Pelodiscus sinensis: one gene and its partners. The protein of the gene in region 1 interacts with the protein of each later gene in a pairwise test. Links are inferred from orthologs where the notes say so. Each region holds a gene or a part of one and is shown in the gene's direction. Other genes may lie near its edges.

Region 1 (7,967 bases):
GTTGTGAAATCCTCATTTGTTTATTGCTTCATCATTATGCTCCCCATCTCTCTATTGTTTATCAGAAAGGTCTCCGTATGGTTCTTTATTTCTGTCTCCTTTATAATTAATTTTGTTAGGTATAAACCAACTAAGGTGGTGGGATATAATTGGTTAGATAATTACAATGAGTTAGGATTAGTTAGTTGAATTTTAGTAGAATGATTAGTTAAGGTATACCTGAAAATATTAATATATATAGTAGCTAACCCCAATAAACTAGAAGCTAACCCCAATATACATTGAATTGTTTGCATCTCCAGACTTTGGGTATTACTGTTCTTTGTCATGTGAGAAGGAAATGACAAGGTGAAGGGATAAGTCATCTACCAGCAGTTAGCAAAATTACCCTATCCTGGGAGACCATCTTGGTTATGACAATCTTGTGGCCCACTGAGCTAAAGGAGGGCCATGTCCACTCACTAGCCTAGAGTGCCCATTCTTGCTTTAGCATCTAAAATGTAAAGATTTATTTATCAGAAAGAAAGAAATCAGAATTAAAATAGTTAAAGGAATCACATACATGCAGCAATTGCAAAGTTCTTGGTTCAGGCTTGTATCAGCAATGGAATAAATTGCTGGCTTAAATTTAGTCTCTGGAGTACTTCCACAGCTTGGATAGTCATCCAGTCCTTTGTTCAGAGCCTCAGTATGTAGCAAAAAATTCTCTAGAGGTGAGAAGCAGGACTGAAGACAAAAGGGAGGTGTTTAGAGTGCTTTTTATACCTTCTGCCATGTGGAGGGAATACCAATGTTCTTGCAATGGAAAAGTACAGCAACAAGATGGTGTTTAGAGTCATATAGGAAAATCACATATCCATGCATGATTCAGTTCTTTACAAGTAGAAGCCATTGCTCCCATGCTAACTTGAACATTCACAGGAAGGCTCCTCAGATGTGAATTAGCACCTTCCCAGGCTCATTATCAGTCAAGTACTTTTATTCAACTTGAATAGTCCCTTCACAACATGTTGGCCAAATGCCCTGTTGGTGGCTCTCAGAAGTAAACATTTGAAATACAAGTACATAGCCTTGTACTTGTGTACCTGCACCACTCATAATTTCAAATACAAAAGTGACACATGAATACAAATGACATAACCATAACCAGTTGATCATAATTGTTTCATAGACACCTCACTTGGCAAACTTTGTACAAGATTTGTTGCAAATATATAAGAACATTTGTAACAGCGATCTATATGGTCATATTTTAATCTGGTAACATCACATTCTCCCCTCAGCCACATTCCCTGGCAGGGTGCCAGTGCAGATTTTTTGTGCATGCCATGGAAGTGGGGGGGAGGGGCAGAAGTGAGAGCAGTGGCTTCAGCAGTGTAACTGATCATGCTTAGTACAAGCCAAGCACCAACTCGGGGGAAAGGGGAGGGAGACCAAACCTGTCTCCCTCCCCCCCCCCCTCACCACACACATATCATCTCTTTCCAGGAGCTTCTGAAGCACCTGAAAACTCTAATTTTTTGCAGGTAACATAGCAATTGGCTGACAGGAACATTGTATGTAATGTAATTCCTATGGAAAAAAACATTAAATGTATATTGGATCCATTCAGCTCCAATATTAAAATGTTCTGACATCTTGTGGCAAGTCACTTGAAAGACATTGGTTAAGTTTAAAATTTTAATGTATATTCTTACTTTGTCACTAATGCTGCAGAGACAGAGACTTCATCATAACTCCTGGGTTCTAGCTCAGCTCTAGGAGGGAAGTGGGGTCTAGTGGGTTACAGCAGGAGGCAGATATATTTAGTCTCTATGGGTTCATCTAGACTACAGGGAATGGTCGAAAGAAGATATGCAGGAATTTGCATATCTTCTTCCGATCACACTTTTGAAAGCAGAGCTTTCAAAAGTGAAATTAGTCAAGGCTCAGATTTTTCGGCAAATCCCCCCACCCTTTGTTGAAAAGCCATGTAAACCTCCTTTTTTGAGGAAGAGCAGCTTTTTGACAAAAGGGGGGAGGGGTTTGCTGAAAAAGCCGTGTCTTAACTACTTTCACTTTCAAAAGCTCTTTCAAAAGTGCGATAGGAAGAATCTTCTTTCGACCGTTCCCCGTAGTCTAGATGAGCCCTATATAAGAACATCAGAATAGATACTGGATCAGACCAATGTTCCATCTATTCCAGTATCCTGTATTCTAATAGTGGTCGATGCTAGGTGCTTCAGAAAGAATGAACAGAACAGACAATCACCAAGTGGATCCATTCTTTCACCCTTTCACAGTTTCTGACAAACAAGATGTTAGGGACACTCTCTGCCCATCCTGGGTAACAGCCATTGATGGATCTATCTTTGAACTTACTTGGATCCTATTGGAACCCTGTTTAGTTTGGTCTTTTCCATTATCCTTGGCAAACTGTTCCACAGGTTGACCATAAAGAAATATGTTTTTGTTTCTTTTAAATCTGCTGCTATAAATTTCATTAGGGTGATCTTCTTGTGTTATGTAAAGGAGAAAAATGTTCACACTATTCATGATTATATAGATCTCTAACATATTCTCTCCAGCCTTCACTCATCTATTTTCCAAGCTTATGCATCCTAGGGTTTGGTTTTTTTCAATTTCTCATATGGAAGCTGTTCCTTACCCCCAATAATTTCTGTTGCCCTTCTCTGTACCTTTTCCAAATCCAAAACATCTTGGCTACGTCTACATTGGCATCCCTTTCCAGAAAAGGGATGCTAATGAGACGGGTTGCAATTGCAAATTCTGCGGGGGATTTAAATATCCCCCGCGGCATTTGCATTTACATGGCTGCCGCTTTTTTCTGGCTTGGGGATAAGCCGGAGAAAAGCGCCAGTCTAGACGTGATTCTCCGGAAAATAAGCCCTTTTCCGGAGGATCTCTTATTCCTACTTCAAAGGGCTTATTTTCTGGAGAATCACGTCTAGACTGGCGCTTTTCTCCGGCTTATCCCCAAGCCGGAAAAAAGCAGCAGCCATGTAAATGCAAATGCCGCAGGGGATATTTAAATCCCTCGCGGAATTTGCAATTCGAAGTCTACATTAGCATCCCTTTTCCAGAAAGGGATGCCAATGTAGACACAGCCCTTTTGTTTGTTTGTTTTTTGTTTGTTTTTGGATGGGGTAATCAGAACTGCCTGCAGTATTCAAGATATGGGTGTACCATGAATTTATAAAGAGGCAATATGCAATTTCTGTCAAATCTATTCCTTTTTTAAATTATTCCTAATATTTGGTTAGCTTTTTTTGTTTGCTGCTGCAAAGTGAAACTATCTACAATGATTCCAACATCTCTTTCTTGAGTGGTAACAGCTAATTTAGACCCCATCATTTTATATGTATAGTTGGGATATTTTCCTGGATTACTTTGTATTTATCAGCATTGAATTCCACCTGCTACTGTTGCCCAATCATCCACTTTTGTGAGATCCCTTTGTAGCTCTTTGCAGTCAGCTTTGAATTTAACTATTTTGAGTAATTTTATATCATTTGCAAATTTGCCACCTGTTTATCCCTATCATTTATGAATAATTTGAACTGTCCTGGTCCCAATACAGATCCCTGGAGCATATCAATATTTAACCTTCTCCATTCTCACCAGTTATTCCTTCCCTTTGTTTTCTTTATTTTAAGTGGAGTACCTGATGATGCTTTTATGATCTAATGATCCTTCAATTAATTTAATGATAAGCCATGCCCCAGAAGCTCTGCTGCACTTAAGAGCTGCTTCTGGGGCATGTGCTGTAAGTAGCCCTTAAGTATGCAATTCATGGGTTCAAAAATAAGGGGTTCAAACTTCAGGGGAGGCTAGAGCCCCCCATCCTGCCTAAATGGTGCTCCTGTTCCATGGCCTAGAATACTTGCTGCAGTCTTAGCAGGACTATATCTTGAACGCCCATTTGCCATATGTCTGTGCTACTTATGCCAAACAATCTCTCCCGCTTTGCATTTCGCTATGATGTTGGGAATCCCTTTCCCAGCCCTCAGGAAAAGTTCTGTGTAGCTCAGAAGCTCGTGTCTCTCACCAACAGAAGCTAGACAACAACAAAAAAAAATACTTTTTCACCACTTAACTCTCTGACATCCTGGACTGGACAGAGTTACAATGCTGTACCCATCTTTTCATTGAGACAACTAGCCCTGCATAGCCATGAACCTTCAATTGCATTGCTCCTTTGCTTGTCTAGGGGCTTGTCTACACTCCAGGTTACAGCAGCATAATTTTTGTCACTCAGGTGTATGTCTAAGTCCCTCCCCCCACTCTCCCCAGTAACATAATTACACTAAGTACTACAGCTGTACAGCACTGGACAAGATTCTCCTGCCAACATAGCTACTGTGCTAAATGGGGATGGTTTAGCATGCCAAGGGGAAGGATCTCTCCCATTGGTGTAGCTCATCTTCACCAGACCAGCATCTTCCCTGGTCCAGCTAACATATCCCTCCCTTTGCACTTTCTAACACAAATCTGTCCCTTCGCAGCCTGCAACAGGCTAGTGGGGCACAGGAGCAGGAATCCAGGTGGGGAAAGAAGATACACATGGGACTCCCCTAGGGGCAGCAGCAGCATCATGGAGCATTTTGAGTGCTAGAGAAGGTGCAGAGCAGGGCTGGCCAAAGGATGCTCATAAAGTGGGAGACAGGGCCTGCCTTACAGTAACTGCCAGAGCTAGGGTTGCCTGGTGTTGGGTTTTGAACCAGACAGTCCAGTATTGGAGTTTTCTGTTCAGAAAACAAATGGAGAACATATAAATGTCCAGTATTTCCTAAGTCAGATGTAATGTAGATTGTGATGTGATAGCAAGTGTGTGGGGTATTTTTGTTGAACCCACCTGGCAACCCTCGAAAAGAGTCAGAGACGTGGCCATAAAAAGGCAGCCGCCCAATGCCTGTCAGGGAGAACAGCGGCTGCCTGCCCCTGGGGCTGTGTTCCCGAGGCAGCGCGCCGGGCGAGGCTCCCTGCAGCTGGGCGGAGAGCGGAGCTCCCAGCGGGCCGAGGGAGGGAAGCCACCGCCCACGGGCGGGGGAAGCTGACGGCGGAGAGCCCCGCCCGGTGGCGCGCTCAGGCTGGGCTGCCTCCCCCGCCACGTGATTGCCAGGCACTGGAGCCCAGCTGCGGTCGCTAGTGCTGCTGCCTGCCCGCTGGCGACTCCACCGGCTCGGGGGCTACAGTGCGCCGGGGGACCCGACCCACACCCAGCAGCGCTGGCCTCGCCGCCGGCCCCTGCCCCTGTAAGTGCAGCCTCGTTCTGCAGGGTGGGCTCGCTGCTCCGCGCCGTAGCCGCCCCCCTGCTCCTGAAACGAAACTGATAGTGAGCGATGGGAGCCGGGCCCGGGCGGGTCGGCTTTGCCGGCCCCTGCAAAGCGGGCAGCGCCTGCCTCGTTGTATGGGGGGTTCTTTAAAGAGCTGGGTCTTCACGGGCCGCTGTAGAGTCCCTGCACCGGCGCTTAGGGCCGGGAAGGACACGAGTGTCAACTTGACGCTGGCTTCCTGAGCAGGCCGAGCGCTGGGTGTGATGTCTCTTAAAAACCCCACCTCTTGGTTATGTACAGTGAACAGAACACAAGCGATGCTAAATGATCGCCGGTAGCACAGGCGTGTAAGGGAGCAGCTCTCTACCGACCTCGGGCACCAAGGTTTTCAAGAGTTAGGAGTAACAGGAATCATTTGCCCTTGGGATAAATGGCCATTTAGGCAGCGTTTTGTTTTGCTATATAGAGTTTACTGTTTTGTAAAGTGCAAATACCCGTTTTCTTCAATATAAACTACTTGTATATGTTTGTGTGCTTGACAATTATTTTGTATGTTGTATTACATATAGAGTAGATTTTTATGAGGATAACATTATTGTTTGTTTGTTTTTTTAGATGGCATTCACAGTGCTTTCCAAGCAGAAGTAGTGGTGCTAACTTGTGATTTTATTGCCAGGCATGCAAAAGTTGATATTTTACTTTAAGGCCTCCTTCCCAACTAGAGAAAAATGTATAAGAGCAGTGCTTTTTATGTGATGGTACTGCCCGGTACACAGTACCAGCACCTCCATAGCTCAACAACTTTTCTCTTGAGCTATGTCCATATTGGCAAGATTTTACGCAAATACTTTTAACGCAAGAGTTTTTGCATTAAAGTATTTGCGCAAGAGAGCGTCTACACTGGCATGTGCCTATGCGCAAGAGATGTGCTTTTGCGCAAAAGCATCTGTGCCAGTGTAGACGCTCTCTTGCGCAAGAAAGCTCCAATGGCCATTTTAGCCATCGGGCTTTTTTGCGCAAGAAATTAATGTTGCCTGTCTACACTGGCCTCTTGCGCCAGAACAGTTGCACAAGAGGGCTTATTCCTGAGCGGAAGCGTCAAAGTGTTTGCACAAGAAGCACTGATTTTATACATTAGAACGTCAGTGTTCTTGTGCAAGTACTAGCAGCTAGTGTAGTCAGGCAGCATGTTTTTGTGCAAAAGCGGCTGCTTTGGCACAAAATCATGCCAATGTAGACACAGCCTTGGAGTACCAGCACTTTTTTTAAAACAAAAAAAGCACTGCATAAGAGTATCTATTGGCTTTCATCAAAGTACCACCAGAAGAAGCAGTGCAACTTTTTAGCTCTCATGGTTGTAGAGCAGGGGTTCATCATCATCATCAACAACCATGGGCTCAGTGCCCATTGATGTCCTATGCCTCCCTCACCATTTCCTTCCATCTTACCCTGTCCAGTGTGGAGTGGCTTAGTTTCTGTAGATTCGCTCCGCACCAATCTACTATATCATCTACCCATTCTCTGTGGGGTCTGCCTCTCCTATTCGGGCCATCCATTATGCCAAATACCAGGGTCTTAACCTTTCACTTGTCATTCATTCTGCAGATATGCCCAAAAGAGCAGGGGTTGGCAACTGTGTAGAAGTGGCATGCCCCAGTGGCGTGCCACCACGCTCCCCGGGGGGTGGGATGGGATCTCCAGTGCACGCCCTGCTTGGTCTCCTGCCCTGGACTCCCAGGCAGGGGGACGCTGCACAGCTCCCATGTCCTGCCTCCCCAGAGCATTGGGAAGGTAGGGTGGATAAGGCATCATGTGTGTTGCTTTGGGGAGGGGAGGAGCAATATGCATGCACTTCCCTGCAAGCTGGATCCTGTGTGGAGCCTTGGGGCTTTCCCCCTCCTCACAGGAAGCTGGTGCTTACTCCAATCTTGTGGAAGGTGTTACACAGGATAGCCAGCTTGGGCTTCCTGTTAACTGGTCAGGGAGAGCAATGAAGAGCCCGTTCATCATGCGTGCTACTGAAAATCATCTTATGTACCACTTATTGCATACGTGCCATACGTTGTCGACCTCTGTTGTAGAGAAAAGCTTGAAAATGCTTGAATGCCAGAGATCACATAAAGCTAACCATTTTTAGGGGAAAAAAATCCCATACTTTGAAAATCTGCCTTATGATTTTTGGGACATTTGGGGTTGGCAATACTGTAGAAGTGAAGGTGTAAGTTACTGTGTTTAATTTGTGCCAGAATAAATGTTTACCCTCAAGGAGTAAAAAATAATGCCACCCTGATCCTGCATTACTCACATATATAAAATTGAACAAGTGCGTAAGTGTTGAAAGATAAGGAGACAATTTCTGAAAAATGTTGTAGCTCCTGCCTTAACTTGTCCTGACATCACATGCGCAGAGGTGGATCTTTGTGCTTATATGGCAATGTAAGTGCCTGTATTCAGTATTATGTGGAAAGTATTATGTGGAATTCTGATCCTAATTGGGGCACCTAACTGCTACTGTAATACAAATAAGAATTCCATGCATGGACCAAATTTCCAATAGTTAGTTTGCAGTTTTATTAATTTCTTCAAGATTAAATCAGATTTCAGTGTACATGTGAGATGTGCAGATTAAGTCCCAGTACTGCAAAGATTTATGCACATCTTAGTTTTATTCATACTGCACAAATTAACGTT
Region 2 (7,305 bases), on another chromosome or scaffold:
GAATTAAAAGATGGGGACTTTTTAGCTTAGAGAAGAAGAAACTAAGGGGGGATAGGATAGAGGTCTATAAAATCATGACTGCTGTGGAGAAAGCGAATAAGGAAAAGCTATTTATTTGTTCCCACAATATAAGCACAAGGGGGTCACCCAATGAAATTAACAGGTAGCAGATGTAAAACAAACAAAAAGAAGTTTTTCTTCATGAAGTGCACAGTCTACCTGTGGAACTCCTTGCCAGAGGAGGTTGCGAAGACCAGGACTTTAATAGGGTTCACAAAAGAACTCAATAAATTCATGCAGGTTAGGTCCTTCCCTTATTTGCCAGAATGGGTAGGAATAATGTCCCTAGTCTCTATTTGTCAGGGGCTGAAAATGGATGACAAGGAGGGATCACGTGCTCATCATCTAATAAACCATCTTGTTAGTCTTTAAAGTGCTACATAGTCCTGTATTTTGATGATTCCCTGTTCCCTCCCTCTGGGACACCTGGTATTGGCCACTGTGGGCAGACAGGACACTGGGCTAGATGGACCTTTGGTCTGACCCAGCATGGCCGTTCTTAAGTTCTCATGCTCTTAACACGAGACCAAAGTCTGAAAACCTGATTGCTTGTGTACCAACAATGAATGAACAACGTCTCGTGTAGGCTGTTACCAAAATTCCTGTTTTCCTGTGGGTTTTGTGCCCTGACAAATAACTCCAAACTGTTTCCCTTGTGCAGGAGATGTGCACCCTTGAATACAGATGTCACTGCAGCCACCCTGTAAATTGGCCAATGTAAGAGGTGAATTCATTGTTGAAACTTCTGAGAGGAAGGGATGCTGTTTGAAGACACTATCTGACCCTAATCAGAGCTGAGGATAGCTCCAATCAAGGAAACAGCTGTTTCTCTCTCTTATCAGTCCTCTTTTAAAAGAAAGACCCTCTTGGGTCACTACACAGCTTAGGTGTTTTGTTTTTGTTCTTCTCCTCAAACCTCATAGAATCTTGTCAGTCATGTCTTCAAGGTGTATCTACAGTCACCTAGTGCAACCCTACGTAATACTGATGCTTAATTTCTTCATGTTAATAAACAATAGTTATTCTTAAAATTTAAAAGTTTATATAAGCTTAGAGGACACATTTTTTTTATTTGTTTATACATTACATAAATAAATACACATTTACAGATCCTAGTGTGCAAATCTATTATATTATACCAGCGAGATAAATCATGCATGCAAATTGCGCATCAAAGTTGTAAAATGGGTTACAAAAGCATAAAAATAAGATATTCAAATATTCATTGAACAGATGATGGGTACGCCGAATATGCTCCTTGCTTTGGATACCTGACTACAGAAGAGCTGATGGATGAGCAATATCAGCTACATGCCTCTGTGCATTGACTATAATCAATATGTCTGTCTTCGTTTATTTTGCTCACAAATAAATAATGGTAGGGACTCCCAGACTGTGATTCTAGCACTCAGAGAGGTTGGCTCTGGCAGGAATAGGCTCTTGAGATGCTGCCAGCCTCTCTCACCAGAGCTAGGGTGGAAGCAACCGATATGGAAAGGCTGAGGACCAAAAGGAACCAGCATAGTTCTGTTTGTTTAATGGGAAGTTCTGCCTCTCTTCTCCATAAAACGTGGGGCCTTTATCCAGTGTGTTCTTCCAGACAGGAGTGCTAGAGCAGATTTAAGTTTGTGTCAGGACAGCTTTTAACCCTCTACAGAGACAACAATCCCTCCTTCCCATTTTACAGATGGGAAGACTGAGACACAAGGCAGTGAAGGCCATTGGTCCTAGTCAGAGTTAGGACCAGAGTTAGTGCCAGCGCCGCTCCAAGAGTCTCTCTTCCTCCGATCCCATCCCTCAGCTCCAGTCCTTCAGCCCCTCCCCACAAGCTTCTCTCCTTCAGCCATTCCCTACACCAGGGGTGGGCAAAAGGGCCTCCGCGGGCCGGATTCCACACTGCAGCCCCTCCCCACACTCTACTAGCCCCGCCCCCAAGCTCCTCCCCTGCAGCCCCTCCCCACACTCCACTAGCCCCTCCCCCAAGCTCCTCCCCTGCAGCCCCACCCCACACTCCACTAGCCCCGCCCCCAAGCTCCTCCCCTGCAGCCCCTCCCCACACTCCACTAGCCCCTCCCCCAAGCCCCTCCCCTTCAGCCCCGCCCCACACTCCACTAGCCCCGCCCCCAAGCTCCTCCCCTTCAGCCCCTCCCCACACTCCACTAGCCCCGCCCCCAAGCTCCTTCCCTACAGCCCCTCCCCACACTCCACTAACCCCTCCCTCAAGCACCTCCCCTTCTCCCCTCCCCACACTCCACTAGCCCCTCCCCCAAGCTCCTCCCCTGCAGCCCCTCCCCACACTCCACTAACCCCTCCCTCAAGCACCTCCCCTTCAGCCCCTCCCCACACTCCACTAGCCCCTCCCCCAAGCACCTCCCCTTCAGCCCCTCCCCACACTCCACTAACCCCTCCCTCAAGCACCTCCCCTTCAGCCCCTCCCCACACTCCACTAACCCCTCCCCCAAGCTCCTCCCCTGCAGCCCCGCCCCACACTCCACTAGCCCCGCCCCCAAGCTCCTCCCCTTCTCCCCTCCCCACACTCCACTAGCCCCTCCCCCAAGCTCCTCCCCTGCAGCCCCGCCCCACACTCCACTAGCCCCTCCCCCAAGCTCCTCCCCTGCAGCCCCGCCCCACACTCCACTAGCCCCGCCCCCAAGCTCCTCCCCTTCTCCCCTCCCCACACTCCACTAGCCCCGCCCCCAAGCTCCTCCCCTGCAGCCCCGCCCCACACTCCACTAGCCCCTCCCCCAAGCTCCTCCCCTGCAGCCCCGCCCCACACTCCACTAGCCCCGCCCCCAAGCTCCTCCCCTGCAGCCCCGCCCCACACTCCACTAGCCCCTCCCCCAAGCTCCTCCCCTTCTCCCCTCCCCACACTCCACTAGCCCCTCCCCCAAGCTCCTCCCCTGCAGCCCCGCCCCACACTCCACTAGCCCCGCCCCCAAGCTCCTCCCCTGCAGCCCCGCCCCACACTCCACTAGCCCCGCCCCCAAGCTCCTCCCCTGCAGCCCCTCCCCACACTCCACTAACCCCTCCCTCAAGCACCTCCCCTTCAGCCCCTCCCCACACTCCACTAGCCCCTCCCCCAAGCACCTCCCCTTCAGCCCCTCCCCACACTCCACTAACCCCTCCCTCAAGCACCTCCCCTTCAGCCCCTCCCCACACTCCACTAACCCCTCCCCCAAGCTCCTCCCCTGCAGCCCCGCCCCACACTCCACTAGCCCCGCCCCCAAGCTCCTCCCCTTCTCCCCTCCCCACACTCCACTAGCCCCTCCCCCAAGCTCCTCCCCTGCAGCCCCGCCCCACACTCCACTAGCCCCTCCCCCAAGCTCCTCCCCTGCAGCCCCGCCCCACACTCCACTAGCCCCGCCCCCAAGCTCCTCCCCTTCTCCCCTCCCCACACTCCACTAGCCCCGCCCCCAAGCTCCTCCCCTGCAGCCCCGCCCCACACTCCACTAGCCCCTCCCCCAAGCTCCTCCCCTGCAGCCCCGCCCCACACTCCACTAGCCCCGCCCCCAAGCTCCTCCCCTGCAGCCCCGCCCCACACTCCACTAGCCCCTCCCCCAAGCTCCTCCCCTTCTCCCCTCCCCACACTCCACTAGCCCCTCCCCCAAGCTCCTCCCCTGCAGCCCCGCCCCACACTCCACTAGCCCCGCCCCCAAGCTCCTCCCCTGCAGCCCCGCCCCACACTCCACTAGCCCCGCCCCCAAGCTCCTCCCCTGCAGCCCCGCCCCACACTCCACTAGCCCCGCCCCCAAGCTCCTCCCCTGCAGCCCCGCCCCACACTCCACTAGCCCCGCCCCCAAGCTCCTCCCCTGCAGCCCCGCCCCACACTCCACTAGCCCCGCCCTGCCTCCGTTGTCCTGCCCCCGCCCGCACGGGCGCCCGGTCCCGCCCTCGTTACCCTCCCGCATCCCGCGGCCCCGAAGCGCGGCGGGCCCGGTTTGGCGGCGGAACGAAGGCGCCGGGGCGGCCGGGGCCCGCCGCCCTCTGTCCTGCAGGGACGACTTCCGGTCGGGGCGGACGCTCCGCCGGCAGCGTGCGCGCGTGTCTTCCGCCCGCACGCTGCGGGACGGTGGCCGCGGATTGGTCCGTGGAGTCACGTGTGTGGGTGCGGGGGTGGGGTTTCCAGCAACCCCGCCCTCTCCGTGCCCCACCATCCGGGGCCCAGGCCGGGACTGGGCTTCTGGCCGCTGGGGCTGCTGCTGCGGGGCCGCGGCTCGGCCGGAACCCAGGGGGAGAGCCACTTCCGCCCGTGCCCCCCCCCCCGTTGCTGTGACAACGCCCCCCCGGCCTAGGGTTGTGACCCCCCCCGCTGAGGCCTGGGGTTACCCCCCCGTGGGAGCAGGGGCCGTGCCCCACCCTGAGCTGGCCCCTCGCACATTGTGACACCCCCCCTCCCCCGGTCCTGTTGCCCCTCCCCCCACGGAGAGGGGGGCTTGTGACACCCCCCCAGGAGAGAAGCACGTGGCTCCCTCACCCCCAAGGCGGGCGCTGGGCCCCCCCACCCCTGTCAGTGATGCCCCACCCCACCCCTGTGCCTCCCTGCTAGTTCCTAGCCCCCTGCGCTCGGGGAAGGGCCCTGGGGATAGTCTGGATCCCCCCCCCTTCGGCCCCAGGAGAGTGGAGAGTTCGGGCTCGCCCCCTGCCAGCTGGTTACCTGCCAAGGTCGCGCCCAGGCCTGTGCCAGCCCCGGGGAGACATGGAGTTTGCAGAGCTCATCAAGACACCCCGCGCGGATAACGTGGTCCTGCACCGCCCCTTCTATCCGGCGGTGGAGGGGACCCTGTGCTTGACTGGCCACCACCTCATCCTCTCCTCCCGGCGCCAGGACAATGCTGAGGAGCTGTGGCTGCTGCACTCCAACATTGACTCCATAGAAAAAAGGTATTTTCACGTCTTTGCACCCATCTAGTTCCGTCTCTTCCTAAGGGGGGTGGGGAGCACGGCAAAGAATTGGGCATCAGGAGCCCAAGGGTTTAGTACTAAGCAGAAGCGTGAGCGTCTGGGTAACTGGATTCTAGTCCTGTTTTGGACATTGGTTGAGTTACTTCACTTCTGCTTTGGTTTCCTTCTTCTGTAAAATGGGGGTGATCATTGCCTGCTTTCCTGGGTTGACCGGAGATAGCAAAGTGTGTAGGTGAAAGCGTTCCCTGTAAGCTGAGCGCTTGGCTGGCTGCCCAGGAGAGATGCAGGTGCTGCCCAGCTGACTGGCAGAGAAGCCGCAGCTGACCACAACCAGCAGTGTGTATTTATATTGGTGGTGCACATCTGCACGTGCTTTGGTGCACGTAACAAAATTTATTCTGCGTACGGATGGAAAAAACTTGGAACATTGGCTACAGTATAATAATAATACTTAACTTTTGTACATTGCTTTCCATTTGTAAATCTCAACGTGCTTTACAAAGTATATCATGGAGGATAAGTCCATGGATGGCTATTAGTCAGAATGGGTAGGGATAATGTCCCTAGCCTGTTTGTCTTGCGAGGGGTCTTGTGATGATTCCCTGTTCTGTTCACTTCCTCTGGGGCATCTGGCATTGGCCACTGTTGGCAGACAGGCTACTGGGCTAGGTGGACCTTTGGTCTGACCCAGTATGACCGCTCTTATCATTATCTCTGAGGTATACATAGGTGAAATGATGTTTTCAAAGTGTCACAACAAGGCCAATGGTAGAGCCAGGAATAGAAACCATATTTTTGGAGACTCTGTCCAATACTCTCTACGTGAAGTCACACTGCCATATAGGAACTAATACAATACTATCTCTACCTCTTCCTCATCAGCCTGACAAATTTGAGGACTATTGGCTACTCTTCTGCAGTATAGACTCCATCACGGTGCCATTCTATCCTATCCCATCTGATCCATTTAGAGGTTTCCTCTTAAAAATCCTTGTTGCCTGCTTTAGAGGGAAAAAACGCCAGGGATTACAACATGGGGCCCTTATGTAGGGCCCAGTAAATAGCTCTGCTTTAGTTCACATATAGCGATGTCCCTAAGACAAACCAATATGGGATTAGCGCAGGATTACAGAATTTTACCCTTTCGCTTTGCTGATGTGAATATCTCTTTGATGGGCAAGTAGAATATTGTTTTTTTTTTGTAGTGTCCTTCTGATAAAGATAGGTGAGCAGATTTTTGTGCTTAGGCTGAAAATTTTTCATAATCATTTTGAGGCATGAGCTCCAAAACTGCTGCTCTTTTTAGTAGCTTTTTGCCATTCTTCAGTGACTCTTTTTACACGTACGGCCTATTGATCTCATTGTGGAGAAGAGCCGTCTTTATTGACTCTGCGATGTCAGGATACTCCAGGAAATGCAGAGAGGAAAAATAGCCCCACTTGTTGTAAACTGTTACTACAGGAAGTTATGAAATAGGAGGGCATGCAGGCACATGGGATCATCGTTGAAGCTGAACACTATTCCTTCATTTGTCCCAAATTCTTCCAGTTCTTCCGTGCTGGAGAAACAGTCACACAGCTACTGAGTGAAGAAATTAATGGTTTATTAGCTGAAATAAAGGCTTAGCAGACCAAATTACAGACCCACCGGATTTTATCTTATCTTTTATATAGGTGCTCGTACCTGCATTGACGGCTGTACTGTATTCAGTAGGGATGTTAAAAATCGTGTAATAGGCTAACTGTGTAACCGCTGAAAATCTCAGCAGTTATACGGTTACCCACACTGCAGGCTCTGCAGTATAAAACTTTGATTTATACTGCAGAGCCCGCAGCGAAGCTGCCCTGGGAGCAGGCTTCCTTGCATCAGGGATGCCTCCTCCCCTGGAGCAGAGCGAGCAGCCCTTATGAGTTAAACTGTTAGTCATTTACACTCTTAAATCCCTAGCATTCAGACAGTTACAGCTATACTGCCTGTGCTGCTTCCGAGGGCCTGCATGTCAGTCTGGGCCTGCATTTGATCAGGGCTAGCATTGTGCCATCAACAGATTGCACCCGCCATTAGCTGTGAGGCTAAAACATAAAGGGATGCCAAGACAAAACTGCGAACTGGTTTGAAAATCAGTCTGACTGTATTATAGGGCATATTTCTGTATCGCCTTTCTTCTGCAAATCAATCCTCTTGATAGGCGCTGCTTATAGAATGCTTCCCACGCTGTCTCTGAGAGAGCTAGCCACTCTATGCTCATTTTATAGGTGGGGGAACAGAAACATGGAGGTGAAGTGATATGGTCAAAGTCATAGCCAGCTGAATGTAGGCCTAGTAGTAAAACCTCCCTCCCAG
Region 3 (6,960 bases), on another chromosome or scaffold:
CATTCCCGGCCTCCCGGCCGGCTGCATACAAGGACAAGGAGCTGGAGCCGCCCGCTGCCTGCGCCGGTCCCCCATGGCGAGCATGGGCGCAGCGAGCCGGGCCTGAGCGCGGTGCCCCGGCCGCGGCCGGCATGCAGAGCCCCGCCAGATGCTCCTTCTTCAAGGTGCTGCTGTGGGCGCTGGCACTGGTGGCCCTGCTGCAGCTGCTCTACCTGTCCCTGCTCTCGGGGCTGCACGGGCGCCAGCAGCGCTCCCGCTACTCGGAGCTGTTCGGGGGGCGCCGGGGCGAGGCTCCCGGCCGGCCCAGCGAGCAGCAGAAGGAGCAGCTCAAGCGCGCCCTGGCCAGCGGCGGGCGGCTGGATGCCAGCGGGCAGTACCGGATCTACACGGACATGCTGGGGCCCCCGGAGCGGGCGAAGCGGGCGCCCGACTTGGTGCTCGCCACACACACCAGCCTGAGCAACCTGTACCAGCTGCAGGAGCTGGTGGGGCGCTGGCAGGGCCCGGTCTCCGTGGCGCTCTTTGCACCGGGCCCCGCCGAGGTGCGGCTGGCTACGCTGATGCTCTACGCCCTGGGGACACTGTGCGGGCCAGTGCGCCAGCTGGTGAGGGCCCACCTGGTGTGTCACTCGGGGGACCTGGCCGCCTTCCCAGAGCTGGAGGACCGGGCGGAGTTTGCCCGCTTGAAGGCCTGTGGGGATGTCTTCGCCAAGCTGGCACGGGCCGGGGTGGGCAGGCGTAACTATGCCCTGGGTGCCAACGCCTCCTACCCCAACAACTTGCTGCGCAACGTGGCAAGGGGAGCAGCCACTGGGCACTACACCCTCGTGCTGGACGTGGACATGCTGCCCAGTGAGGGGCTGCGTGAGGCCTTTCTGGCTCTGGCAGCAACCTTGGGTGCTGAGGGGCCACCGGGTGTCTTTGTGGTGCCCGCCTTTGAGATTCGGCATACCCGGCGCCTCCCAGGTGCCAAGACCGAGCTACTGCAGCTGTATCAGGTGGGGGAGATCCGGCCGTTCTACGAGGAGCTCTGCCCGCGCTGCCAGGCCCCTACCAACTACTCACGCTGGCTGAACTTGCCCTTGGGCAGTCCCCTGAACACCGCCTACGCCGTGGAGTGGAGGGACCCCTGGGAGCCCTTCTACATCAGTGCCAACTCTGTGCCACCCTACGATGAAAGATTCAAGCAGTATGGGTTCAACCGCATCAGCCAGGTACCTGCCTAACTGGGAATGGGGGGGCATTAGTGCCATGGGAGACACCCCAGAAATACACCCAGCCTCCCCAAGCGATGGAGCAGGGTGTCCTGACCCATGGGTGAAACAAATCAGGGAAGTCTCATCCAGGTGATCTCCTGATCACTGGACAGCCTCAGGCCATGCTTACTGAGCCTCATAGAGACACAAGGGCAAGAGGAGTGATTATTTCCTTCCTTGCAAGGGGGTTTTGGCCCTGATCCAATCGTAGTCCAAGAGTATTTGCTGGCTGGAGAAGAGAAGCAGCACAATGTAGGGACATTGTGCTGCAGGGTGGAGGGTTCAGTAAGAGGTGCTTTCACCTTGCATTCAATGCTATCCTCAATGCCCAAGGCTGCACCAGGAGGTGCTGTAAGTATACCTGTTAGTGGCATCCGTCCAATTAGATGTAAAATGCGCCTTGGCCCCTTGTGTTCACTAAAGACCATTTGTCCCTTTTTCTACAGCTTCAATCCAGTGAATTTCCACTTTTTGTCCTGAATTGTAGTGTTCTGTGAAGCTGTGAAATAGCTTCCACATCCCATACTGCATCTGAGCACTGGGTGAGGGATCCCTGTATAAAACAGCTCCAATGCCCCACCCCAGAAGCAGCTGCATCTCAGAACCAGGGGAAGGATCCCTCTATAAACAGCCTGCACACTCCACTTTAGAGGTAGCTGCTTTTCTGCACTTGATGTAACAAAGTGTGGGACACTTCAGAGTCCAATGAGGGTGGGGGTTACTCTGGTTTCTCCTTCACAGCTCTCCTGTCCCCTTTTGTAGGCATGTGAGCTCCATGTGGCTGGGTACAGTTTCTCAGTGCTGAACAATGCTTTCCTGGTGCACAAGGGCTTCAAGGTGCCAAGTGAGTTCCATGCACAGAAGGATGCTGAGAATCAGCGCAACAAGGTGCTCTTTCGCCAGTTCAAGCAGGAACTGAAGCTGAAGTATCCTGGCTCACTGCGCCGATGCTGATGGGCCTGCTGTCTTGGGCACAGCTCCTCAGTTCTGCCTTCCCTATGACTCTTCAACTGTAGCTTTGGTGTCAGTGTTTTTTGGGGGGGCCGTGCCCTCTCTTTTTCATTGAGTCATTAACGCTCACATCAGACAAAGGTTTATAGTTAGGGGGGAATCTTTCCAGTCACATCACTCTGGCTCCTTCACCACTCCCAGCCTATTGCTGGGATTGTGTATCCCTTTATCCCTTTCTTCCAATTCACTTCAGCATTCTCCTCCCACAGTTTTCCATTCAATATCAGACTATCTCAGAACAGAGGACTACCACACCTGGTCTTCTGCCTGTGTGGGTAGAAATCAGCTGTTTCCTCCATCCACAGTTCTCTTGTTATGATTCTTTCCCTCTCTGAGCAGAGAAGGGGGCTGTTCTGGATTCAACAGCTCCCTCTCCCTTTCTGTAAGTGGCTATGGGTTGAGAACCTAATATAGCAATTAGAGGAGGGAGAGTCAGGACTTCTGGGATCTTTCCCTAGTGCTGAAAAGAGAGTAGAGGTTAGTTGTTAAAGAATGACGTGTTGAAATTCAGGACTTCTGAATTCTGTTCCCAGCTTTGTCACTTATTCTATTTGCCCCAAGACCCTTCCACTTTGTGCACCTCATTTTTCCCCTTTGTAAAATGGGAATAAATGCACTGACCTACCTCCTGAGGGCAGGGGGCATGAGGCTTAATTTATGAAGATGCTCAATGCTGTTTGGTTGGGACTGGCAGAGTGCTCTTGTCCTCTGGCACTGTAGGGAATGGCCTGGCATTCCGTCGCCCTGCGTGCAAACTTTAGGTTGGAACAATAAAGTACTGTGGAGGCCAGGAGCTTCTCCTCATGGCTGTGTCCTGCTGTGGGTCCTTTCTGTAGCGCCGGAGGCAATGGTGGAATGTATCTGTCCCGCACAGGGCTTGGCTCACTGTGTGGCACTATGGGTGGGGCTGACTCCTTCATGTGCCAAAGCAGAGGCTCTCCTGCCAATGAATCCATCCTGCTCATGATCAGGAGAAGGGAATTGAGAGCCACACACCCTTGGCTTCTCTCCAGGTACTTGGCTGTTGGGGGCAGTCCCATGACAACACTGTGCTTGTGCACCATGGCAAGGAGGCCAAAGGCATTGTACTGAGGCGGGACTGGGACTGGGTGCCAAGTGTTATAGCAATTCTGGGACTGGAGCTGTGGCAATGCTTCAGTGACACTGCACCAGGCTGTGATGACTCTGCCCAGGAGCCACTACAACACTGACTGGGTCCTCTGGAGATGTCATGACCAAGCACCATGGCATCAACTCGACTAGGTACCATGGTGATGTGTCACAAGCAGGTGCTGCGGCAACACCAATTCGGGGGGTGCCCGCCCTTTAGCCAACTTTCGATGGATGTGGTCATCTCAGGCTAGGCTGTGGGTCTGTTGCCATGGGAACACGTCTCATCCTCCACTATCCCATAAGGCCCGGAGTAGTGGGCAGCTGGGAACCATAGAGTCAACGGCGCGCTGATTAATTGGTGTCCCTGATTGGCTGCAAGAAAATAAGGTGGGGCCAGTAGCTACGGGACTTCCGGGTACGGAGAAGCGAAGCAGCTACGGGAGGGAGGCCGCCGGCCTGGACTCCCGAGGTACGTGGGGCTCAGAGCAGCGGGAGATGGATTCGTCCCAGCTTCCCCCTCATGGGGTGCTGGGTGGTGCGTTCCCCGCTGAGATCAATAGAAGCCAGGATAGAGCTTGCGCAACCCAAGGGAGAAATTCGCTTCCTCCCCTGCTTGTGGAACTTGTTGGTTCCATCCCCGTTGAACTCAAGGGAGGGCAGGCTGGCCCATTACAACCGCAAGGGGGAAACTTACAGCGACGGCCGGCGCAGATTATTGCAACTCAGGGGAAGGTTGCGGCCCCTATGTTGTGGGTATTCAAAGATCCATTCCTCGTGAAACGTACTGGCAGCGCAGACCATTGTAGCTTGGGAAGGGGGTGCACTGTATCCTACTTCACCCCCCTCCCCCATCATGGGGACATGAATGACACCTTCCAAAACAAATTCAATGAAACTGGGAGATGCGAAGAAATCTCGAGGGGAGGGCGAATTGTGGCCTTCTGGTGTGTGTGTATGTGGGCTCAGTGGTATCTTCCCCAACACAGGCATAGACTAGAGCAAACGGTGTCAATTGGAGGGGGCAGTTATAGCATTGGTATGTTCCTCGGAAGTGAGCAGAAAATGGGAAATACCATTCTCATGGAGGGGGGTTCTCCCAGCATTGCGTATGCAGTAGTGAGCCCATTATGGGATATGGGCCAGGCCATGGTTACAGAGCGAGCAGGGGGCTGGGAGCCAGGACTCCTGGGTTCTGTTACTGGCTCTGCCTGTTTTCCCACCCTTAGCCCTAGCTGTCTATGGGGCTTGGGTGCCCCATGGGGTCTTGGGCCTATTGGAAGCCAGGTCCCTGCATTGTTGGCAAGGAGGGAGCAGCTCCCATCCGCAACTTAGGCTCATGGCAGCAGATCTCTGGGGTCCCAGCTCCGCTGGGGTCAGCACACATCGCTGCAGAGTCGCAGCACATGTCACAATGCCGTAGCAATAGCAGCTGCCAGCACCTGGCTCCCTGACAGCATCTCGGCAGCTTTGCGGGGTTTCCCCTACAAGGTGGCTGCACATGACAGTGCAGTGAGAACAAGGAGGCGCTGTCCCTGTGCCAGCCCCATGGCAGGATGACTGGCTGGCTGGGTGTGGGATGGGGAAATAAAACACCTCTGCAAGGTGCTGGCTCTGATCTAGCTCCATGTGAATCAAGTTGTGGGTTTTGGCGTTGCTCCCAATGGAGAAGGTTGCTACTTCCTTGGCCAGTGGGAAGCCTTGGGAGCTCAATGGGCTGTGGCGATTGGGGCCTACTAGCTGAGGTTGCCCTGGGGCAGGGGGATGCAAATTGTCAAGGGTTGCTGTTGGTGTGGTGGAGCTACCCATATTCACAGTCTGGGCACATGGGGTGTCCCATGGTTTTGTGGGTAGCTGTCCCTGGCCAGGTGTGATGGAGGAGGGTGGGAGATGCAGTGAAACAAGACCCTCCTGGATCACCTGCCATTGATCACCTAGAGTGCCCATGCCGGTGCATCCGGTGCCCAAGGAGGCCGAAGAGATGGAGGGGGATGGGGACTCGGCACCTGAGCTGAATGGTGAAGAGGAGGAGAGCGAGGAAGAACGTAGTGCCAGCCCTTCTGAATCAGAGGAAGAAAGCTCAGGTATTTGAGTATGGAAGGGGATACAGGGAGGGGCTTGGCCTTTTATCACAAGGCGGTTCTGGGATGTGGCTCTGCTTCCAGGGTAAAAGCCATGACCCCAGTGTCCTCTCTCTGGACTCCTAAGTTATGTTCCCAGCTCTGGGAAGAGTGGGGGGTATTGGGGGATGGGGCTGTGAATCAGGACTCCTGGGTCCTATTCTTCTATTTACTCCTAGCTGTGTGTGTGTGACCTGGGTGAGTGTCCTGGCTCTGTATGCCTCTGTTGCCCTGGTCTGTGTGTGGCCTGTAAGATACATGTGCTGTGCCCTGCAGAAATGGATGAGGAGGACTGTGAGCGGCGCCGCAGCGAGTGCCTAGATGAGATGTGTGACCTGGAGAAGCAGTTCTCTGAGCTCAAAGAAAAGTGAGTCCCCTCTTGGATTCCCCATCTTTTAGGTGCCTGTATCTCAGTGCCAGGCAAGAGATCCTGGTATAAACTGTCCCTGCTGCACCCCACCCAAGAAATGGCCGCATCTCAGTGCTAGCTAATGCTGTGGGTTGGCAAGGGCTGAGCAGGCCTATGCTGGGTGTGGTGGGCAGAACTGGACCATGCTGGGTGGTGTGAGGGAATCCCTGGGGTGGACAGGACTCTGCTCAGTACCTGCTGGTGCACCCTGCAGGCTGTTCAAGGAGCGGCTGAACCAGGTGAAGGCCAAGTTGGAGGACGTGGCATCGGGGCGGGCTGCCGAGTACCTCGACCCCCTGGGTGTCCTGCAGAACAACATGAAGATCCGTATCGAGGTGGCTGGTGAGCTCATGGCCTTGCCCATGTGTTAGCTGTATCCCCTGCTGCCCCACAGGGGACTGGTTCCACTGCCGTGAGGAGTGGAGGTTCCAGGGCTCAGTACCAGGACCTGGGAGGAGGGGACTGTCCCATGGGCTGTCCTGGTCTGGGCAGGCCTCAGAGGGCAATTGATGGCTCTAAGGGAGCAGCAAGGCTCTGGAGATGGGGCAGTTGGGTTTAGGGGGGCCCAGATGCAGTGTGGCCCCGGGGGGAGTGGGAGGGAAGGGTTCAGAAGAAGGGAGGATGGATGGTAGAGATGTAAGTGCCTGTAGCAGAGGCAGCAAAGGGCATGGGGGAACAGGAGCTGGTGCTGGGGGGGAGATGGCTTAAAAGCCATTTTCCCCCCAAGCACCATCTCTGTGGTGCCGCCTCCCCCCCACCTGCTGCTGCCACTATAAGAGGCAGCAATGAGGGGTAGGTCAGGAGGGGCTGCTGCCATGAAGCAGCCTCTGCCCACGGCCAGCCTGGGCTGCCATGAACAAGACCTGTTGCTAGAGCAGCTTCTGTTCATGGTGGCCCAGGCTGGCCAAGGCATGGGCTGTTGAACCCAGCACAAGCTGGGACTGAGCAAATCTGGCTCAGTCCCAACTTGCGCCAGTCCAGGATTTTAAATGTAGTAAGAGCTGCCCGGCATGAGCTGGGATAGAGCACCTTCCCTCATCGACTGATCGTGTAG
Region 4 (6,868 bases), on another chromosome or scaffold:
TAGCCACCCCAGGCCCCATGCTTTAGGGGGCCCAGCGGCAGCCGCCTCAACCATCCTATGGATGGGAGAGACCCGGGGGATTATGGGGCCTGGCACAGGGCAGCAAAAGAGGTTACCCCTCACACGCTCACTGTGGCAGCAGGTTCAAGAGCCGCCCAGCAGCCTGCTCCACTTCCCTTTCCCAGCTGGCAATGCTCTGCTTCTTAATTGCATGGGGAAGTAGAGAGCCCCAGCCCTTAGGGCACTGCTTCCCGCTGCCTTGGAGAAGTGGAGTGCAGCAGGCTGGGAGGGCAGTGTAGTGGGGCAGAGCAGGCTGCGAGGCCACTTGGGCTCCCACTGACATGTTGAGTGTGAAAGAGGAGGGCAACCCCTGTTGCCACCCTCCACCAAGCCCTATAATTCCCTGGTCCACGTTGCTTAGGGGAGGGGGCAACAGGATGGGGCAGGGCTTGGGGAGAAATATGGACACACCCCGCCCAAGGTGCGCAAGGATGCTCAGGTCAAATTATAGAACTGCTTGGACTGTAAATGGCCCATGGGCTGTGTGCTGGAAATCTCTGCTATACGTGAAGACATTGATGAATCTGTTGTATATAAAACCAAGGGAAAGACAAACAAAACAGATTGTTCATGTAAGCGCTAGATGCACATATGCAACTTCTTCTCACTTCACTAGAGTTATAAGCATATATCTGGGGAACCATCGGGTGTAAATTAGCTGATAAATTCCTGACTCTACTGAAGTCCGTGGCAAAACTCCCATGGACAAGTGTGGAACCAGAATTTCACTCAGCAATGTTGCCACAAACTGAATTTTTTTCAGTAGTGGTGAAATTCTGCATCATCCACCTGAATTGATTTCTGTTCGATTTAGATTTTCTCTGTGTAATCTTGGTGCACTTGAAGTCAATGGTAGTTTGCCATTTACATCAATAGAATCAGGACTTCATACCATATGTTTAAACTAACAATCCATGAACAACTATAGCAACATGAAGCTGTTTTTGTCATTTTTTTAGGCTTCAGAAGAGGAAGAGATTGTTGATCTCATGCTGATGAAAATTTTCAGTTTCCTTGGGATTAAATGCAAAAAGGAAGAGAAGCCAACCAATGAAGAACAACTGAAAGTAGCAGCTACTACTTGACAACCATAATGACCAATTGCTTTCTGTAAAGTCTTGCCTGCTATCCATTTTAAACTACAGCTGCTGTGGCTAGACGTAGATATTGTGGCTGCTATGTGTAAAGTGTAAACAGGAATATATTTAATAATTAAATCTTGTGTTGTATGATATGGGATATTACCTGTAAAATAATAAATAAATCTAGAATAATGTGTCCAATTATGTATATTGTCTTATTCTTTCTGTACATTTACTGTCATGTATTTAATAAATGCTACATGTTCCCTGCAGTTTGTCTAAATTTTTTGATCAGAAAACCAAGAAATAGTGTCCCACTTCTCCAGAATGTGATTTAAATGTCTTAGAAGGAATATTTTTTTAAAATTTGGCAACTCTTTACATATTCAACACTGGCAATATCATCACAACAGAGCATGCAGGGAAGTACTAAAATCCCATTCCCTGGAGTCATTACAGCTTGGGGACCAACAGAGATCTCTAGAGACAAGATGGGTGAGGTACTGTAAGATCATTTTGGATTAGTATCTATTGGTCTAATACTTACTACCTTGTCTCTTAAATATCCTGGGACCAAGGGAGCTCCCACAACACTGCATATAACATAGATCTGAAGAAGTGGGCTGTGCCCATGAAGCTGACGATACTATTGATATTTTTGTTAGTCTCTAAGGTGCTACAGGCAGGGGCGGCCCGTGGACCTAAGCAAACTAGGCAGTTGCCTAGGGCGCTGTGGCCTCAGGCGCCCCATGATTACATCACAGCCATTGACAGCCATGCACGTGGGGGCGCAGATCGCACCTTCCGCAGCCGGCCTCGGGCTGCTCCTGGCTACAGGACCATTCAGACTAACACAGCTACCCCTCTGAGTCTTTTAAACATAAACCTTGGTTTTCCTTGGGAAGTGAGGTACTTAAGGATCATCAGACTTAATAGCCTTATAACTTGTGGACAATAGCTTCAGACTGAGTCACTGAATTCCTGAGGTTCACTGTAACTCCACTGACAATGTCCCAGGAAGGATTACACAATCAAACACTTTTCAGTTCTTTTCAAACAAGGTTTAATAATTCCTATTGTATCCAGCAGAGAAATAATTCTTCCTTATATGTTATGAATAATAAGTAATATCAGAGCCTGCAAATGTATAAGTAAGGAATAGCATGCAATAATTGCTAGAGTTAACCACACCCCTCAGGTCAGATGCAGAGAGAGGCAGAAAGGCCACCTCCTGAAGAGTAGTTAAACCAGCCTAATTCCTGCTGTAGACAGCACTAGGTCTAAGTGAGAAATCTTTCATCATCATGGACCTACCACCTACTGCTTCTCAGACAGGTGGATTATCTAATATGCCAACTGGAGAGTCCCTCCAGCTAACATAGGTAGCACTACAACACAGTAGCTACAGCATTTTAAATGTAGAGAAGCCCTTGATTTACATCACCTGTGCTTCGTGAATTAGTGCCTTGCATGTTCAGAAGCTTCAGGGGGTAGCCGAGTTAGTCTGTTACAGAAAAAAACAACAAATGGTCTGGTAGCACTTTATAGACTAACAAAACATGTAGATGGTATCATGAGCTTTCGTGAGCACAGCCCCCCACTATCCTCACTCCCACATCCAGTCCCCAGTTCTGTCCTTTTCTCGTGGGCCCATGCACCCACTTCCTCTCCCATACTACAGCCCCCTACACCCCCTCTCACCAGTCTCCTACACCCTCCCCCCTCTCTCACCACAGCCCCCTACTCACCACACCCCCTACTCACTACACCCCCTCTCACCACAGCCCCCTACTCACCACACCCCCTCTCTCACCACAGCCCCCTACATCCCTCCCCCCTCTCACCACAGCCCCTTACACACTACACCTCCTCTCACCACAGCCCCCAACACCCCTCACCCTCTCTCACCACAGCCCCCTACACACTACACCCCCTCACCAGTCTCTTACATCCTCCCCCCTCACCACAGCCCCCTACACACTACACCCCCTCACCAGTCTCCTACATCCTCCCCCCTCACCACAGCCCCTTACACACTACACCTCCTCTCACCACAGCCCCCAACACCCCTCACCCTCTCTCACCACAGCCCCCTACACACTACACCCCCTCACCAGTCTCTTACATCCTCCCCCCTCACCACAGCCCCCTACACACTACACCCCCTCACCAGTCTCTTACATCCTCCCCCCTCACCACAGCCCCCTACACACTACACCCCCTCACCAGTCTCTTACATCCTCCCCCCTCACCACAGCCCCCTACACACTACACCCCCTCACCAGTCTCCTACATCCTCCCCCCTCACCACAGCCCCCTACACACTACACCCCCTCACCAGTCTCTTACATCCTCCCCCCTCACCACAGCCCCCTACACACTACACCCCCTCACCAGTCTCTTACATCCTCCCCCCTCACCACAGCCCCCTACACACTACACCCCCTCACCAGTCTCCTACATCCTCCCCCCTCACCACAGCCCCTTACACACTACACCTCCTCTCACCACAGCCCCCTACACCCCTTCCCCCTCTCTCACCACAGCCCCCCTCACACCCTAATTCTGCCCTCTCTCACAGACCCCCACCCACTCGCATTCACACCCCTTGTTCCCCCCACACCCAGCTCCCCTCATGCCCGCACGCCCCGCCCCGCACGTACCCCAGGGCGGAGGGCGGGCCGCGTCGGTTGGTCCCTCCCCCGGCTCCGCCCGCGGGGTCAGGCTCAGCGCGCCGCGGGACTGTGCGGGGCCGGCGGGCGCCGGGCTGCGAGCGGCTGAGATGGCGCTGCGAGCGCTGCGGAGGGTGGCGGTCAGCCTGGCTCCGCGCTGCCCAGGCCGCGGCGGCCCCTTCCCCTCGGCCCGGTCGGCCTGGCCTCAGGCGGCCCCGGCCCGGAGCCTGGGCACCAGCGCGCTGCTGTTCTCCGGTGAGTCCGGGCACGGGCCGCCGGCCGGGCCCACATGGCGGGAGGCCAGGCCTGGCGACAGGTCCCGGTGCGTGTGTGGGGCCGGTGCGCGGGGCAGGCGCGGGGGGGCACATACGAGCCTGAGGGCTGCAGTCGGGGCGCGGGTGCTGCTGCCTGGTGCGTGTCCCCGTTAGTTTGTTGGCAGCCAGCTGGGCCCTACGGGAGAGCCGCAGGTCGGGAGAGCCAGTCCCCTGGCAGTTTCCACATGGAGGTGCAGAGCCCTTTGGAAATCGTAGACCTAATCTGGGGACCCTCGCTTGAAAACCATGGCGCCTTGGAGGGAAGGGGAAGGTCTTGTTTTGTAAATAGCGCAGCAAATCCCTTGCAGAGCGGGGAGTCTAATCCAGGACGCTTGACTCCCGTTCCCAAGATTATAGCTAGAAATCTACCGGGTTCACTAATCTACGGAGAAGGGGATTTATGCCTAAAAACCACTCGTGGTTGGGTATGTTGCTCAGATCAACATATTTGTAAAGGGCTAAGTTATAGTGAGAAAAAGTGAGATGGAGTTAAGTTAGTAAACCAGGTTCCACTATTAGATAGCCTGGTTTGTAAAATGATCAGTGGGCCATTATTTTGATCACAGATGCTTCTTCACATTAGAAACATCTTACCTGTTTTTATCAATAAAGATGTGTCTACACAGCACCCTTACCTCAAAATAAGACATGAAATTTGTGCTATGCAAATTGCATAGCTTATTTAGAGATTATTTCAAAATTGCTTATATCGAAATTTGTTAAAACACTATTCTGATAAGTCGCTTAACCCTTGTGGAATAAGGAATAGTGTGCCCACTATTTCAAAATATATTCCAAAATAACGGGCATGTTTAAAGATGAGGAATTGCTATTTTGGAATACTTCCGGTGTCCCAAAATAGCCCCACTAGAGGTAGCTTGAGTGATGTTGCAATGCAGCTACGACAGGTATAAGCACAAGGTAGACGTGGCGCAGCCATTTTTGTCACTATGGCATAATCTGACCACTTGTTAGCATTGCTACCCAAATGACCATGAGGTGCTTCCTGCTGGTGAGAAACTTGCTAGTGTGCATGAGGTATTAGATGATTTTACTTTACTATGCATAGTATGATGCAGTAGAAGTTTGTATACCTGATCTAAAAGAAGACATTGGCAAGCTTTTTTGTAGACACAGGCACTAAACATTCCACATTCACTGATATCCATCATACACATTAGAGATGTAAGTGACTAATTGATTAGTCAGCTTTCTGATAAGCAAAAGCTTATTGGATAGTCAATGCACTAGTTAACTAGTCGCTCCCCCCAGGGGAGATGAGAAGGGGGTGCTGGCTTAAAAGCTGGTTCCTCCAGCTCTGTGGGAGCGGGTAGGGGGCAGCGATGGTGTTCCACATATGAAATGTACAAGAGCTCTTATACATTTCAAAGGCAGAATGCCTTAGCACTTACACCTTTGAAATGTAGCAACAGTTGGGCAGGCTCTAGCTATATTTCAAAATGGAAACACCCTTATCGATTAATCAAATACTTAATGGAAATTCCATCAATTATTGGATTAGTTGATTAATCTATTTTTAACATCTCTGATAACGCACATGGGAAAAGTGATAGATTGGGCTCTGATCCTACAACTCTTACTTAATGTAGATCCATAGACACCTCCTTGAAGCTTCAACAAGTGAAGCTTTGATGGTGCACCTATGTGATTATAAATTTAAGCGGAATGAATCACTGAATTTTCCCCTTAATGGACTACGTGAATTTAGGTCTGAATTTTATGCAGGCACATTCATAAGGGTACAGAGGTCCTCTTGCAGGGTCTGGGAGGGGGTATGGGTGCAGGAGAGGATTATGGCCTGGGGGAGGGTGTAGGGAGGAAGTGCAGGGTCTATTAGGAAATTGTGACCACGTGGGAGAGGGAGCAGAGGATTTAGGTGATGTCCTGGGGAAGGGGAATGGGGTGCTAGATCAAGGAGAAGATATGGGTGTAGGAGAGCATTTTGGCCTGCTGGTGGGATGTAGGAAAGGGTGCAGGGTCTGGGAGGGAGTTGCCATGGAGAAAGGGTGAATGAGGGTGCAGAAGATTTAGGTGGTGACCTGGGACAGGAAGTTGGAGGGAGAGAGAGGCTGGGGTGCTAGAGTCAGGCTGTGGCCAGAGGCACTTACCTTAATGACTCCTAGTCAGAAGCCCTGCAGGATCCTGAGGCAGGTTTGCTAGCTGCTCCCTGTGGCTCTCTGCTCCAAGGGGAGGGAGAGGCTTTATGTGTTGCCCCCCCCCCCCCCCCAAATCTCTCAGCTCCCTTTAGCTTGTTTCTGAGCTGAGAGATTTTGCTGGGGGGGAGGGGAACAGAGTGCACCCTCCTATCTCTCACCTGGAATAGGGAGCCATTAGACACTTAAGGTGCCATGAGGCTGCTCTGTGCCTGAGGGTCCCAGCAAGGTGGTATGGGGCTGGATTGGGTGGCCTGCAGGCCGGATCCAGTAGCTTGGTGGGCTGAATGATGCCCCATAGCCATATCTTGCCTGGCCCTGCTATACACTGATGTGTGAACACCTAGGCTATGTCTACACTGGCAGCTTCTTGCGCAAGTATGGCTGTTCTTGCGCAAGAATCCGCAGAGCGTCCACACTGCCCGCCGGCTCTTGCACAAGGAAATTTACAGTACAGCGTGGTAAGAGAGGGCTTCTTGCGCAACAGGTGTAAGCCCTCTCGCGCATGAGCTCTTGCGCAAGAAGGCAATGTGGATGTGCAGCAGGTGTTTCTTGCACAAGAAAGC

Evidence for each region.
Region 2: the proteins of NMI (region 1) and MTMR9 interact in binary tests that used the Homo sapiens proteins (3 or more experiments, as listed by UniProt). The two-hybrid records come from large-scale screens. The link is inferred for Pelodiscus sinensis from reciprocal best matches to the Homo sapiens genes NMI and MTMR9.
Region 3: the proteins of NMI (region 1) and BRMS1 interact in binary tests that used the Homo sapiens proteins (3 or more experiments, as listed by UniProt). The link is inferred for Pelodiscus sinensis from reciprocal best matches to the Homo sapiens genes NMI and BRMS1.
Region 4: the proteins of NMI (region 1) and GCSH interact in binary tests that used the Homo sapiens proteins (3 or more experiments, as listed by UniProt). The two-hybrid records come from large-scale screens. The link is inferred for Pelodiscus sinensis from reciprocal best matches to the Homo sapiens genes NMI and GCSH.

The regions. Positions count from the first base shown.
Region 1 is NC_134717.1:27,661,187-27,669,153, reverse strand, and holds the start of NMI (N-myc-interactor), read left to right. Parts: upstream 1-4,947; 5' UTR 4,948-5,255; intron 5,256-7,967. UniProt on the Homo sapiens protein: Acts as a signaling pathway regulator involved in innate immune system response.
Region 2 is NC_134713.1:2,877,541-2,884,845, reverse strand, and holds the start of MTMR9 (myotubularin-related protein 9), read left to right. Parts: upstream 1-4,305; 5' UTR 4,306-4,756; coding exon 4,757-4,941; intron 4,942-7,305. UniProt on the Homo sapiens protein: Acts as an adapter for myotubularin-related phosphatases. Increases lipid phosphatase MTMR6 catalytic activity, specifically towards phosphatidylinositol 3,5-bisphosphate and MTMR6 binding affinity for phosphorylated phosphatidylinositols.
Region 3 is NC_134721.1:32,359,163-32,366,122, forward strand, and holds the start of BRMS1 (breast cancer metastasis-suppressor 1), read left to right. Parts: upstream 1-3,957; 5' UTR 3,958-4,124; coding exon 4,125-4,129; intron 4,130-4,394; exon of another isoform or gene 4,395-4,416; intron 4,417-5,315; coding exon 5,316-5,461; intron 5,462-5,773; coding exon 5,774-5,864; intron 5,865-6,120; coding exon 6,121-6,248; intron 6,249-6,960. Other genes in the region: B4GAT1 (beta-1,4-glucuronyltransferase 1), read left to right, coding at 132-1,214, 2,019-2,210. UniProt on the Homo sapiens protein: Transcriptional repressor. Down-regulates transcription activation by NF-kappa-B by promoting the deacetylation of RELA at 'Lys-310'. Promotes HDAC1 binding to promoter regions.
Region 4 is NC_134722.1:11,491,772-11,498,639, forward strand, and holds the start of GCSH (glycine cleavage system H protein, mitochondrial), read left to right. Parts: upstream 1-3,847; 5' UTR 3,848-3,924; coding exon 3,925-4,069; intron 4,070-6,868. Other genes in the region: polycystin-1-like protein 2, read left to right, coding at 1,020-1,145. UniProt on the Homo sapiens protein: The glycine cleavage system catalyzes the degradation of glycine. The H protein (GCSH) shuttles the methylamine group of glycine from the P protein (GLDC) to the T protein (GCST).